Coturnix japonica: one gene and its partners. The protein of the gene in region 1 interacts with the protein of each later gene in a biochemical or structural test. Links are inferred from orthologs where the notes say so. Each region holds a gene or a part of one and is shown in the gene's direction. Other genes may lie near its edges.

Region 1 (4,445 bases):
TGGAGGTATCTTGCCCCTAAGTCTCCCAGGCGCCGTCCAACTAGTCCCTGCACACACAGCCATCGTGGATGGGATGCAACAGAGAAGTTGAGCAGGATGTAGGGGGACGCCCAGCTCTGCTGCTCTCCCCTCTTTTTTTTTTTTCTTCCCTTCTTTTCTGCTGTGACTTGGAAAGAACAAAGTCAAGAGACTGCCAAAGCAGAGGAAAACAAGGCCAAGCACACACAGATGGTGAGCCCACAAATTTAATTTAAAATCATCCTTTATTATTCAAAATATTAAAATTCAGGCAAAAATGCCCAGAGGAGCTGCACTGATTAAAGTTCCCTAATGTTTCATGGCCAAATCTTATCGCTTCCTCCAAGGGTCACTGGGACAAGAAGTGAAACCCCTCTGGAGCACAGACAGAGGCAAAGCTCTACCTGCTGTACATCCTTTACCCAAACAGTTACTTACTGACCCAATCAGCTTCACTTAAAGCAAAGCACCAGCTGTTCCTTACCCAATTAATGATTGCCACAGCAAATTAACATGGCGTTACACCAGGCGTGGATGTGGTCCACAGAGCCCGAAATGCACAGAGCAATATGCTAGTGCAAAAATAATCACAGTAATATCTTTACCGTTAGGTAGCATCCTTCATCTGGAAGGACCGGGAGCTCCCTGTGCGGTGTGTGGCTGGCTTCGTGCTCTGCAGGAAGGATGTGGAGTGCAGGGAGGGGATGTATGGTTGGTGTTTTAAGAGAGATTGAGAGGAGCTGCCAGTGGGTGAGGCAGAACTGACTATGTGTACAGCTCTAGGTTCTTGTGATCCAAATAAATTGTTATTTAACTTCTTGTAAACCCACGTTATTTCTTGGTGCTCTGTGGGTTGTCCTGGGGTGTGGGTGCTGGTGTCCTGGGGTGCGTACAGACCTCTCCTGTCCCTCTGCTCTGTATTGTGGGTCCATAATGTTCTGCTGAGGAGAGCTGAGCTGGTCTCTTCTTGTCCAAGGCGTTCAGTCTAGTTAACACAAGGATGACTCCAGTCCTTAATCAGCCATTGCAGTTATGGCTCCACTATGAGCCTGTGCTTTGTATGATCCTGAGAACTCACCTTAAAGACCACATTCACAAATCAGCCCAGAGGACAGCGGTGTCCCTTTGCGATTATAGGGCTCTCTCATTATCATTACTGTTATTTACATAATGGTGGGCAGGGTTTGCAGCACTGGTTTCCAGCACATTCTGGGTGATGCCCGGGCCTGTTACATCCATCGGGTATCACAGCCCATATGTCCTTATGAAAGGGGCCCATCCCCCCCGCACACAGCGGCCTCTATTCCGCCCCTGCCCTCCTGTTACACCGCCACAACCTCCTCCGTACTACAACTCCCATCAGCCCTCTCGCCCACTGACGCCGCGTGCGTCACCCTGCTCCCGGCATACCCGTGGCCGCACAGCCCTCCGGGATTTGTAGTTCTCTCCCACCCCTCAGGCCCTCTCCGGCGGCGCGGCGAGGGACTCCATTTCCCGTGGGCCCGCGGGCAGCGCATGCGCTTTGTTGGTAGCGGGGGTGAGGCGTGGGGTGGGGGGGGGGTGTGAGCGCGGGGCAGCGCAGGTTGGTGTCGGCGCTGGCTGCGGCCTGGCACTGCGAGGAGGGGCGGCCCCGCGGGAGGATATGGACCCTGCCGAGGCCGTGCTGCAGGAGAAGGCGATCAAGTTCATGGTGAGAGGCCGCGGGGAGCCGAGGGGGCACCTGTGTGCGGGGCTGGGCCGGGGGGAGCACGGCGGGGCGGGGGCGGGGCGGGGTGTCCTGGGCCGCGGGGGGTTCAAGTGCTGTTGGGGGACGGGAGGGGGAGCCGAGCGGGGCGGGGGGCTGCGGGGGGGGATGGAACGCGTGGGGTTGTCGTGTTATTGCCTTCGTTCGTGTACTTGAGGCTGTGCTGTGCTGAGCCCCGGCCCCCGGCAGCTGTGTGCCGTGTTCCTTTCCGCCCTGTGCTCGGAGCTGTGCGCGCTGACACTCCGCTCTCACCTTCTGCTGCGTTGCAGTGATGGTGGATGCGCGGCCTGGGCTGCTGGGCCGCTCTTTGGCATGGCAGGCAGCTCTGGGGGTGATTGCAGCCCAGATGCTCTGCACCTTTACCTACATGTGAGGCTTTACACACTTGAACTTAATTCTTTTTTGACTTCAGTTGTTGATATGGTACACTCCGGTACCATCTGAATGCAATGTCAGTTTTGTGTGCCCAAAACTGGCCTTTCCCTATGGAAGCCATCGAAGTACTTGGCAGCACCTGGTGAAAGTTGACTTAGTGTTGGCCTTACAGTCCTACAGACCTGAATCTGAGCTCATCAGAAGGAAGCGATTCTATTAAACTTATGCCCAAGTGAAATCGAGGAAGTGCTGCTTGCAAATGTTTTCTTTTTAATTGAGCTTTGCAACATTTGTTTGAATTCTGCTTTTTTAATCCCGTAGAACTTGTTTCTCTTGTGGTTTGGTGACCTTTTTGCTGCTAGCCCTGTAGTCTGGCAGATTTATAGGGTCTCTGCTCAGTGAAGTGAGAAAATGCTATGGGTACCTTAAAAGGAAAGGTAGCAATTAGTAATAATGAACCACCTTCTTGGGTGTGCAGTTGGCCAGAGGAGTGTCCCTGAGCCTGCTGTGCTCATGTTGGGCCAAGCTGGGTGATGGCAGCCTTAACCTACATTGTGGCTTCCATATCTTCAAGTGTTCCTGTGTGCTGCCCTGACATCTCATGTGTTGCATTTGTCATTCTGTGCTTCAGTTCCCAGTGAATAGCTTAGTTCCTGGCATTTGAGATCTTCCATAAGGTTGGGCCTGGGACCTGAGGGAATCCCTGCCCATCTCACAGCTGGCAGTGTGCCACCCGAACAATAAAACTCCCTGATGCTGAGGAGAGACCTGAGCATGAGAGAGAGCTGCTCTTAGGAGAGCTGCATCTGGTAAGGGCTCCAGATAAAGGGAAGAATTATTGAGGATCAGGCTTTGCTGAGAGCTAAAAGCTAAACCAAGTTCCTTAATGTTTTATTAAAGTGCCTCTTGAAAGCAAAGTACATGCAAAATTGCAGTGAAAGAGGGAGCTTCCCTCTGATCCCCTTGAACTTTTGAGGTGTACGTGTATTTGTATGGGTTGAGAGTGATAAAAGCTTTTGTTTATATTTATATATTTATACCACATCTCAGGCTTTTGCTTCGACATTAATCTGTGTAGTACATCTCTCATTTTAATTATGTTGATGAAGAGTTTTTGTCAGACTTGGTGTGGGCTTTCCCTGTTCTCCATTTGCTGTCGGTGGAGGTGTATGCAGGTAGGTTGTTCCAATAAATGAGGTCCTGTTGTAATTGGCAGCTCAATGCTGCTGGGAAGTCTCCTGTTATTTCAGTCTGACAGCACTCAGGAAGTGCTTAGGTACTGCAGCAGTGGCAGTGCTACCTACTGCATGGAGGTAGTGGATCCTCAGCTAATGCTGAATCATTCACAGCATATTACCCTGTTCATCGAGTGTGTGATGCACTTTGTGTGCTGCTCCCTTCCCTGAAGAGCTCTGCTTTGGGTTGAGGTGGGCTTTGCTGTTAATTAGAGACTTTTCCCTGAGACCTCCCCAGAGCTGATGTATCTCACCACAGATGAATATTCAAACATCTGTAGGTGTGTGATCTATTATCTCTCCAGCTTTTTTGGTGGTGCTGTTTCTGATGTGAATTTGTGCTGGGTTTCATTTTGTGTTGAAGAGCAGCCCTGTAGGTGGTGTTATTTTGGGGCTCCTCTAGAAAATAATACATTTTCCACTTCATGCGAGTGCCTCATTTTTGGCAGTGACTTTGCGCAGTGCTCCTGAGTCACAAGGTATCAGGCAAGTCAGACCTGCTGATTTCATGTCTGACACTCAGAGAAAAACGTCACATGGAATCTTTGTCCAGTGCTAACCTTATAAATGACATTATCTTGCCTTAAAAGGGGCTATTTATTTTTTAATGTGTCTATATTCATTACCTTCAAGGTAAATCCAGACAAGGTTCTGGATGCTGGTGTGTGTGTGTAACTTTTCAATGAGCCTAAAATCTCATTATTCTCCCTGGCCACTAGTGTCTCCATTACTCACTGATAAAACAGTGCTGCATTCAGGTAATATCTGCTACCAGTGTGTGTTCAGCCACCATACACGTCTTCTGATACTTTCAGCTTTAAGTAATGTATTTAACTTCATTCACATACTCAGTTTACCTCTCTGTTTCAAGAAGGCCTAATTTATTCCTGATATTCAGCTGTGGTGGATAAGCACTATGCAATACTGGGCAGCTGCTCACAGGGAGGGCTGTATCTGCTGGCGAAGGGCTGTTTTCTATCACACGTTCTACATTTTGTCTTTCAAAGCTTCTTTTGAGTGAAACTAGCACATAGATATAAAAGACAGTTGTAAATTACATAGCCCAGTGTTCT
Region 2 (4,393 bases), on another chromosome or scaffold:
ATAGGCTCTGTAGTGCTTATTTAGGCTGTTGATAGGCCTGGTAATGTTAGTCCTTGTTCATGGTGGGCAGGGTAGCCAAGTTACCATACTCATGCTTGGGAAGAACCAACTTTTCTTCAATACAACTATTGACAGTCCCATCAAAATACAGCAAAAACAACAGCTTATGTGGATTCAGGATGGCACGTAGGTAGAAGCCATGAATGCGTGGTCCTTTTATAGCAGCTACACGTTTTGTTATAGTTGCATATTTATGCAATACTTCCTTATTTGCTGTCAGTTTGGAAATAAACTTTCTTTTTAAACAATTGGGTTTATTTTGTTCATTTCTTTCACCATTCCTTTTCTCCTCTTGCATTTTTCTCTTAGTGTTCTTTAGATCTATTTCCTCTTCTGCACAAACTCATCCTTGTTCCACTTGATGTTGTCCCATTTAAGCTGTTACAAGGATCAACAGTTAAGTGGTTACTCTGTACAAGGAACCTTCTGCAGTTCCATTTGCTACTTACCCTCATTAAATAGCTGTATCTGTAGACTCCAGAAAGCAGTGCAGCAACAGTTACATTTAGGTGGAGTTTGGAAAGGAAACTGAAGTGTTTACTTTCTTCCCTCCCCCCCTTTTTTTTGGCGGGGGGGAGGGAAGGGGCAATTTTTAGGTTCTTTATAAGAAACTGCTTTTCATCTCCTGTGGGCCATTGATCAAGATGAAAGCTGTATTTTGTAAAGGCCTTTTTGTGTTCCATCTATCTTGAAACTCAAATACTTCAGTTGGTATCTGCCGCACGGTGCATTCACGTTTTGAATTACTGTAGTTCTGAATTATTGCAGGGCAAGTGTTTGTACAGCACTTGGCTTGGTGTAGCCATCTCTGTGTGAATGATGCCCGGTTGTTCTTTCATAGGTTACATTGTCTGCCTTCAGTTTTCAGGTGATCACAATGCGAGGAGTGTATGGGATATGACGCTGAATTGGAAACATCCCTCTGCACTGTGTCAGAAGGAAAACTGATGGCATTCTTGGACATGATGGTGGAGCTCTGAGCAACACCACCTCGTTGTGCATGAGCTGGGAGTGTGGGGAGGCACTGAGTCACGGCAATGGCCAAATTAATGCGAGGCCAAATTAGTGAGGCACTTGTTATGTTTGTGCGGTACCAGGTCTGCCCCAGGGGCTCTGCTCCCGGAGCTGAGGCAGCAGCAGTTATCAAGGCAGACATGGCTGCGCACTAACGTTGTTATTAACCGTGTGTTTCACCCTTATCTCCGAGATCGCAGACCGGGCGGCGCTCCCGGTGCAGCTGCGCCCCGCGCTCAAGATGGCGCCGTCCCGCCCTGTAGCCGTAGCCGTGTCGGTCCCGGCCCCGCCCCCCCCGCAGTCCCGGTTCGCGCCAAAGCGCCCCGTGACGTCATCGCGCGCAGCTCCGCCCCCGCCCGCCGTGTTTTCAAACGGAGGGGGCGGGCGCCATTGGCTGGCGTGCGTGTCACGTGACTAACGGTCGCGGGAAAGCCGCGGAGTCCGAACGGCGCGAGGTGCCGCCGTGCCCGGGGCAGCGCCGCGAGGAGCAGCCGATACCGCCAGCAGGGCGGAGCGGAGCAGCGGCCGTGAGCGGGGCCGAGCCGCCATGAGCTTCCTCAGCCTGCAGCCCACGGCGCCGCCGCGGCGGGTCTCGGCCCGACGGGCGGCCGCCCCGATCCGGCAGAAGCTGCTGTTCCTCAGCGGCCACAGCGACTGCGAGGAGGAGGACGAAGACGAGGAGGAGGAGGAGGGCGGCAGCAGCGGGAACAGCACCGGCGAGGACTCGGCCTTCCAGGAGGCGGACTCGCCGCTCTCCGTCGCCCGCACCCCGGCTCGGGGCGGCCCGCCCCTGCTGGAGGAGGAGGAGGAGGAGGAGGAGATGATGGAGCCCGCGGCCGCGCCGCTGCCGGACGAGGGGGACTCGTGGGAGGAGGAAGGTTTCGGCTCGTCTCCCGTCAAGTCTCCCGGCTCCTACTTCATGGCCGGGTCGCCGTCGCCGCCGCCCCCGCACAAGGGCCGCCGCTCGGCCGGCCGCTCCCCTCCGCATCCCGCGGCTGGCGGCTGCCGCCCGCGTAGCGACGAGCCCGGCTCCCCGCTGCCCGAGTACCCCGGCACGCCGCCGCACAAGACGTTCCGCAAGCTGCGGCTGTTCGACACGCCGCACACCCCCAAGGTGAGCGGCACAGCGACGGGCCGGGCGGGGCGGCCGTTACCGGGCGGGGGGGGCGGCGCCCCTCGCGTCCGGCGGTTGGAATGCGGGGCCGGGCGCGGCCGTGGCGGTTGTGTCGGGCGGGGGGCGCTCCCATCCGCTCCGCACGGCGCGGCGCACAGCGGGGCCGACACGTGAGGAGCGGCCGGAACGAGGCGCCGTGCCCGTCCCGTGCTCGTGGGGAAGGCCGAGGCACGGAGCGGTAACGTGGCAGCGCTCTGTCGGCACGGTCACTTTGGCGGTCGGGTTTTTGTTTTTCTTCCAACTTTCACCGTTGCTGAGGTTTTCCCGGCGGCGTAGTGTCCCGTCTAGATAAGGCCTAGAAGGATGATGGGCTTACGCTGAGTAGTAGCGAACCTTTTAGAGATACGAGCGTCTTTCCTGTGACACTTAAAGCAAACAGCTTAACGCTGAGTTCCGGCGGAGAACTTTAGATCAGAACCCAAATTCCCCGCCGGTTATCCCGGAGGTTACCTTTGGAATTCGAGAAAATCGGTGACGTTATCCAGCGGGAACGCAAACCGTGCTGAGGTTCCATAGAACCTTGACTGTCTCCGTCTAGTTTGGGTTTGGAGAGCAGGGCTGGGACGCTCGGAGTGTTGACGTTCCATTCGGGCTCGGTAGGAGCTGGTTGGATGCGGTGCTGCTGCTGGCCATGCAGTAGGACAGCGGTCAGCATCCTCGGGAGACCCGGCTGCGGGCTTCTGTGCCCGATTTAATGAACAACCCTTCGACTTGTAGATGGTCGGTTTTTGCTTAAAGCCTGTCATTGGAATTCGTGGCCCGGTGTCTAGTCTCACCTCCGTATCATTTATATGAAAATCCCCTTGTGACTCGTTGTGTCTAAAGCAATATTAAAACCATAAATGCCTTTTCTGTTTTTTAAATACAGAGTTTGCTTTCTAAAGCCCAAGGACTGGGCTCCAGCTCAGTCAAACTCCGAGGAGGCTCCTTATTTATGAACGCTGGGAGGTCAGAGAAGCAAGACTCAAATATTAGACAAACACCTCATGTGAATATTAATCCCTTCACTCCCGATTCCATGTTCCTTCACAACTCTGAAGGGCAGTGTCGAAGGAGGAAGAGAACACACTGGAATGAGTGAGTAATGTATTTCTTTCTTTGTGAAATTTGTCTTGAGCTGCTTCTGTAAGAATAGTTTTCTTTACCAATCTGTTAGCAATGTGAAAAAGAGCTTTCGAGCTTGTGCATCTGAGATTTGTGGTAGTGTGGAAGAACTGTTTAGTATTAGATCTTCTGGTTAGTACGTGGTGGAGAAAGATCAGGCTGTGTCCAGACTGCACACATGGCTGTTTCTTGAGGAAGGGCAAACACACTGAGTGCTGGTGTGAAATAACAATGGTGCTTGAGCTGCTTATGGTTTTTGTTTTGACTTTCTCCTTATAAACACCTCATTCAGTTAGACTAAACCTGAGGGGAGTGGGAGAGCTGAATCTCCAAACAGTCAGTAGTTGTTAGACTTGAATTGTAAATCTGTTTTAATTCTGCAAAACTAACAAGTGTGAATTCCAGCTCTTGTGGAGAGGACATGGAAGCGAGTGATGGAGAGCCTGAAGATGAAGTTATCAGACCTGCTAAGGTAATGAATGTTTAGAGCTTGTTGTGGGTTTTGGCACTTTGCATGTCTGCACACCTTAATATTTTCTTTTCTAATCTCTGCAGAGGATCACAATAACAGAAAGTAATATGAAGTCACGATATGCAACTGAATTTCACGAGCTGGAGAAGATTGGATCTGGTGAATTTGGTTCTGTATTTAAATGTGTGAAGAGGCTGGATGGCTGCATTTATGCTATTAAAAGATCCAAGAAGCCCTTGGCAGGCTCAGTGGATGAGTGAGTATTTCCTACTCTTACAAGCCACCTTTTAGTGCTTTTTTGTGCGTGTGATTGGTTTGTTGGTTTGTTTTTCTTCTAAATACTGTACAGACTTAGAAACTGGGGAATAGAAGTCATTTGACCACAACTCATTTACCCCAGTATTCTAAATGGAAACAGTTTGCTCTCATCTGGAAATAAAAAGATAATGTTCCCTTGCATTACTGGCAGGAGGGTACTGTATGAATAGGCCGTGCAGTGCTGATCTTTGAGTTAGGAGAGGAAAGCAGTGTTCCCACAACTGGGTGCTCGTGTGTGCTGGGTATGTCTG
Region 3 (4,607 bases), on another chromosome or scaffold:
TAATTTAGACTAAGCTCTTAAGTTCCATTTCATTTTGTCTGTAAAGTATCATTGTAATTTCTGCTGCTGAAGTGTAACCCAGTAGAAACCTACTCAAAGTTTAGCAGAAAACAGCAGCTCAGAGCTGCAATGGTGGTTCAGCAGTAGCCTTCTCTTGCCTCCACCTAGAACGGTCAAAGCAGGAATGGCTGCTCCCATGGACTAGGATCCAAGGATTACAGTGGGCAGAGAAGGACCTAGGAGAATCTTTTGGTTGTAGAATAATGCTACTGCAGTACAAACACAAACTGTGGGGAAATCCTACAGCCTGTAGGCAAGTCATTCAGTACGTATGTCTGTGCCATGATTTCATGAACGCAGTGTGCCAAGCAGAGCTAAGTAAAGCAGCTTGTCAGACTGGATGATGAAGCATCCTACATCCAGATACCTAGAATGCCAGCAACAGTTCATATTGCTGTCAGTTTTCCATCTGTTTTATTTTTTTTTCTCTTTTATTGACTTGATTCTTGGGAATTGATAGTAATCCTATTTAAAAGACTCAAATTAGTTTGAATCTAAGCTTTTCCAGTTCCACAGGGTGTGTGTGTTGTGTAGTTCAGGTTTTGATACTTGGAGGGCCTACTTGTGTGGAAATAAAAGGTGCAGGTTTAAATGTCTTCCTGAACTCGGTGGTTTTAGGTGCTTTCCATGATTTCTAGGTCACTCAGACTCAATTCAATTCACTGGGTGTGCAGAAGCAGCTTTGTGTAAATACTGCCACGGGAAGAAGGAAACCAGGACTTACAACTCCAGCATCCTTGTAATCTTCTGCTTCTTGACAAGCTTGCTCAATTATTTGTGCCAACGGAAGAGAATTTCTCGGTGTCCCTGCAACAACAGTGCCATTTACCCCAATGTGAAGGCAAGCCATACAGCCAGTGATGCTTTTCTGATAACGCAGTTATATGCGCTGACATAATAAAATAGAGAGAAATGGGGTAAAACAGTTAAACGAGATGTGCTCCCCTTTGCTGAACGTCACAGCTCAGCTGTATCTGCTCGCTCCTGAAGCCACTCACAGATCTGAGGGTATTGATGCGGTGTTGTACCGGCACTTTCAGCTCTTTTACGGCCCGGCACACAGCCATGAGAACTCGGGCCGGACGCAGCACCACAGGGAGCCACGTGTCCGAGCTGTCCCGAGGCCTGTGCACTCCGCCCGGCCTATATCTCGTCATCCCTCATCTCTCTGAGCGCTCCCCCAGCGCTGCGGGTTCCCTCAGGTGCCCGTTCTTCCCCCGACCCCTACAGCCATGCCGCCCACTTTGCGAGCGGGTCCCGCAGCGCCGCGTGTTCCCCGTCCCGCCCCGCGCTCACCTGGCAGCGCAGCCACATGCACCACGCCGAGCACCGCCGCCCGCAGCCGCCCGAAGAGCCGCGGCCCCGCCATGGCAGCCCGTGTCTTTGGTCCCGCTGCCGTCGGCTCAGCCGCTCACCTCGCTTCACCCCTCCGCCGCGGGGTCGCGCCCGGGGCCTCCCGCCCCCCTCCCAGCTCCGCTTCCGCCCGGTGCCGCCGGCCCCGCCCCTGCTCACACCGTGTGATCCCGCTCCCCGCGGTGCCCCGCGCTCCCCCGGGGCCGGAGCGCGCCCGCAGACCCCGCCCCACCCGGGTGCCGGCCCCCGGCTCTGGGCGCGGGGCCACGTGTGCGGGCGGGAGGCGGCCCCGCGCCGCGCGTTTAAATGTCCCGCTCGGTGCGGGCCGCGATGTGCGCAGGGACGGGAGCGGCCGCGCCGTGAGGCAGGAGCTGCCCGCGGTTGGTGCCCGCAGTCGGTGCCGTGCCCCGCACGAGCTGCCCCGCCTCGTCCCCGCCGCCGTCGGGCGGGCACCGAGCGCCGCGCCCGCGCTGTGTCCGGGGAAGCTCCGGGGTGCTGAGCGCTCAGCGGGTCCCGGGGCGCGGCGGGGCCTTTCCGCGCCTCGTGGCTCTTTGTGGGGGCTGCGGCTCCCGGCTCCGCTCGTGCTCTCGGTCCGGCGGCGGGCAGCATGCGGAGGGAGAGGTGAGTCCGGCCGGCCCTGCGGGTAGGCCGGCTTCTCCGTTAGCGAGGCCGGGTGGGCGGCTCTTTCTTAACGCTTCTCGTTTCTTGGCAGCGACTGCGCGGAGGAGAAGGCTCCCGCCAAGGGGGAAGGGGGCGCCGAGGGGACCGTGCGGGCCCGCAAGAGAAAAGCCGATGTGGCCACGGTGAGTGCAGGCCCGGCGGGCGGCACGGCACGGCCTGGAGGGCGGTGCGGGCCTGGAGCTGCTCCCGCGGCCTTTTGTTGGGGGGTGGGTGGCCATGTGCTGCAGGGGGGGTGAGCGGCCCTAAATCCCTTCTTTTCTTTTTGTAGTTCCTACAGGATCCCGATGAAGAAGTTGCCAAAATTGAAATGAGTAGGAAAAAGCAATATGAAAGCCAGGTAATGACTGTGGCCTTAGATCACCTTCCTTTGGTCTTAGTAGCCTGTTGGTGCAGGATGTTGGTATTACACAGATATGCAGTTACCCCGTGTTGTGTGGTGGTGGTTGAGGGGACCACCAGCCCAGGCTGTTGAAGGCCACAAACCACCTTAGTGGCATGGCCTGCTTTGGAGCCTTTGCAAGGGATGAAGCCTACACTGCTTTAAACCATTACGTGAATGCTTCAGTGTACCTAAATGTCCCGGGGCTGCCAGGCTGTGCCCTACAAAAGCCTTCATACACACTTAGTTTTCCACACTGACGTACCTGGAGCCTTGTAGGAGTTCAGTGGTTCACTTACGTGCTGTATCCCGCAGGCCAAAGCATGCAGCCCTTTGGCACGCAAACAGAACCAAGTTTTGAGATGGATCTCTTTGTAACCCTGTCTTATGCTTACATATAACCTGGGAGAGAGGAAAGATCACTTGTTCCTCTTAGTTAGCTCTATTCTCATTGGCAAGTGTTTTTATTAGGTCGAGGGAGTACTTGAAGTTCCAGATTAGGAGTTTATAGTACTGGATACTACTGTGGTGGTGATGTGGGCTTTAGGCTTCTGCAGATGAAAGGGATGATTTGTTAAAAGCCTTTTATACTGTAGGCCAAAGAACAAATGAGGCTGCTCGCTGGGGTTGGTGGCCAGTGCCAGTTTCCAAATAGGACACTTGGCATGATCCAAGTTACTAAGTCAGACTGAACTCCAGTAGCATCCCCTAAACTTCTTAGTGCTGTTCTTAAGTTCTTCAATCTTGATACGTTAGTCGTGTTTATATTGGGTGCTTTATTGGTATCTGGTATTGAAAGCAAGATGCCTTTGTGCATTGAGATGCTTGCTCTAAATAAAAGAGCAAAATCAGCCTCTCGGAAGTAGGTTTATTCTTGTTTATGATTCTCTCCTGTGCATATGCACACACATGCTCACTCACTCTGTTGCAAGGACTTCAGCCAGTTAATGCACATGCAGGGTGATACTTAAGCTGCAAAAGTCATGATCAGGGAGTACAGACAGTACTCATTTGGTACGCGAGGCTATGCATAATGTGGCACATCTAACCAGAAGTGGCAGCTGGAAGTTCTAAGACTGAAGTGCTACCATAACAGATGGGCATCATTGTTTGGAATGGCCTCTGCTTGTTGCAACTGCGTACACTAGTTATCAGTCAACATATTAAGCAGGGCTCAAATGGTGAGCATTTAATGAGGGGATCTCTCCTTCCCTTCTGTCTTTCTTTTGTGCAGTATATTAAACTAATTTCTCACTACTGACAAGGAAGAGCTGCCTGTCCTTCACTGCAGACCCCTCCTTTAGCAAAACATTCTGGAAGAGCTTCTAATAAATGTTTATTCCATAATAATAAGGTACCATTGAAAAAACCCTTATTGCAATTGTAATTTGAAAAGCGGCTTGAAATATATTTTGCATACATTGATCTTCAGCTTTGGAAGTAGATACAGGGATACAGGCTTCCAATTTACTGGGGCTTTTTCTTTTTTCTTTTTCTTTCTATATGGTGTTGCTATTAAATGCTACTTCAGGAACGATAGGTATAGCAATATTCAGATAACTCAGGCAGGAGGCATCCAAAGTATTAATTTAGGAATTTTCCAAGCTGTCTTCAGGACGCTGGTGGGACTTTGGCCCTTTGATTCTGTAAACTGTAGATAAAAATGGATACCTGTGTATCAGTCTCTACACAGAGAAGGTTTTTTTGTTATGACAAAGTAGCCAGATTGTTACAGATCTGTTTAAAAAAGCTAACATTTGGCTGCACAGCAGCAGCTCTTCAGTCTATGGCTTGACACAAGCTATTCTCTGATATAAATTGCCATGGGCCACTAATGAGAATATGTTTATGGTTCCAGCAGCAGTATCGCAGGCTTGTATGATAGCCAGTGAGATAGTTATTCTGTTGAGGCACAACAATTCTAAAATGCAAGCAGCTATAAATCCTCTGCAGCCTGTTCCACGTGACTTCTACATTAAATAAACTGTTTACTGACACTAGGTTATACATGAGGCAAAATATCGTAGTCACATCCCACTTTATGGCATCTTCATAGTCAATTCATTAGTTTGCTTCTGTTGAACATAAGGCCTGAGTTCTTAATCAGAATGCTGTTACCCTTTATGTGATGGGA

What was found. The genes of interacting proteins can lie anywhere in the genome.
Region 2: of the proteins of BTRC (region 1) and WEE1, one has a biochemical effect on the other in vitro, tested with the Homo sapiens proteins (2 studies listed by BioGRID, with this or other methods). The link is inferred for Coturnix japonica from reciprocal best matches to the Homo sapiens genes BTRC and WEE1.
Region 3: of the proteins of BTRC (region 1) and CCNE1, one has a biochemical effect on the other in vitro, tested with the Homo sapiens proteins (2 studies listed by BioGRID). The link is inferred for Coturnix japonica from reciprocal best matches to the Homo sapiens genes BTRC and CCNE1.

The regions. Positions count from the first base shown.
Region 1 is NC_029521.1:20,074,825-20,079,269, reverse strand, and holds the start of BTRC (F-box/WD repeat-containing protein 1A), read left to right. Parts: upstream 1-1,560; 5' UTR 1,561-1,660; coding exon 1,661-1,708; intron 1,709-4,445. UniProt on the Homo sapiens protein: Substrate recognition component of a SCF (SKP1-CUL1-F-box protein) E3 ubiquitin-protein ligase complex which mediates the ubiquitination and subsequent proteasomal degradation of target proteins. Recognizes and binds to phosphorylated target proteins.
Region 2 is NC_029520.1:13,541,767-13,546,159, reverse strand, and holds the start of WEE1 (wee1-like protein kinase), read left to right. Parts: upstream 1-1,471; 5' UTR 1,472-1,621; coding exon 1,622-2,188; intron 2,189-3,116; coding exon 3,117-3,325; intron 3,326-3,757; coding exon 3,758-3,824; intron 3,825-3,907; coding exon 3,908-4,080; intron 4,081-4,393. UniProt on the Homo sapiens protein: Acts as a negative regulator of entry into mitosis (G2 to M transition) by protecting the nucleus from cytoplasmically activated cyclin B1-complexed CDK1 before the onset of mitosis by mediating phosphorylation of CDK1 on 'Tyr-15'.
Region 3 is NC_029526.1:7,172,148-7,176,754, forward strand, and holds the start of CCNE1 (G1/S-specific cyclin-E1), read left to right. Parts: upstream 1-1,685; 5' UTR 1,686-2,020; coding exon 2,021-2,034; intron 2,035-2,125; coding exon 2,126-2,216; intron 2,217-2,362; coding exon 2,363-2,431; intron 2,432-4,607. Other genes in the region: uncharacterized protein F13E9.13, mitochondrial-like, read right to left, coding at 785-867, 1,357-1,429. UniProt on the Homo sapiens protein: Essential for the control of the cell cycle at the G1/S (start) transition.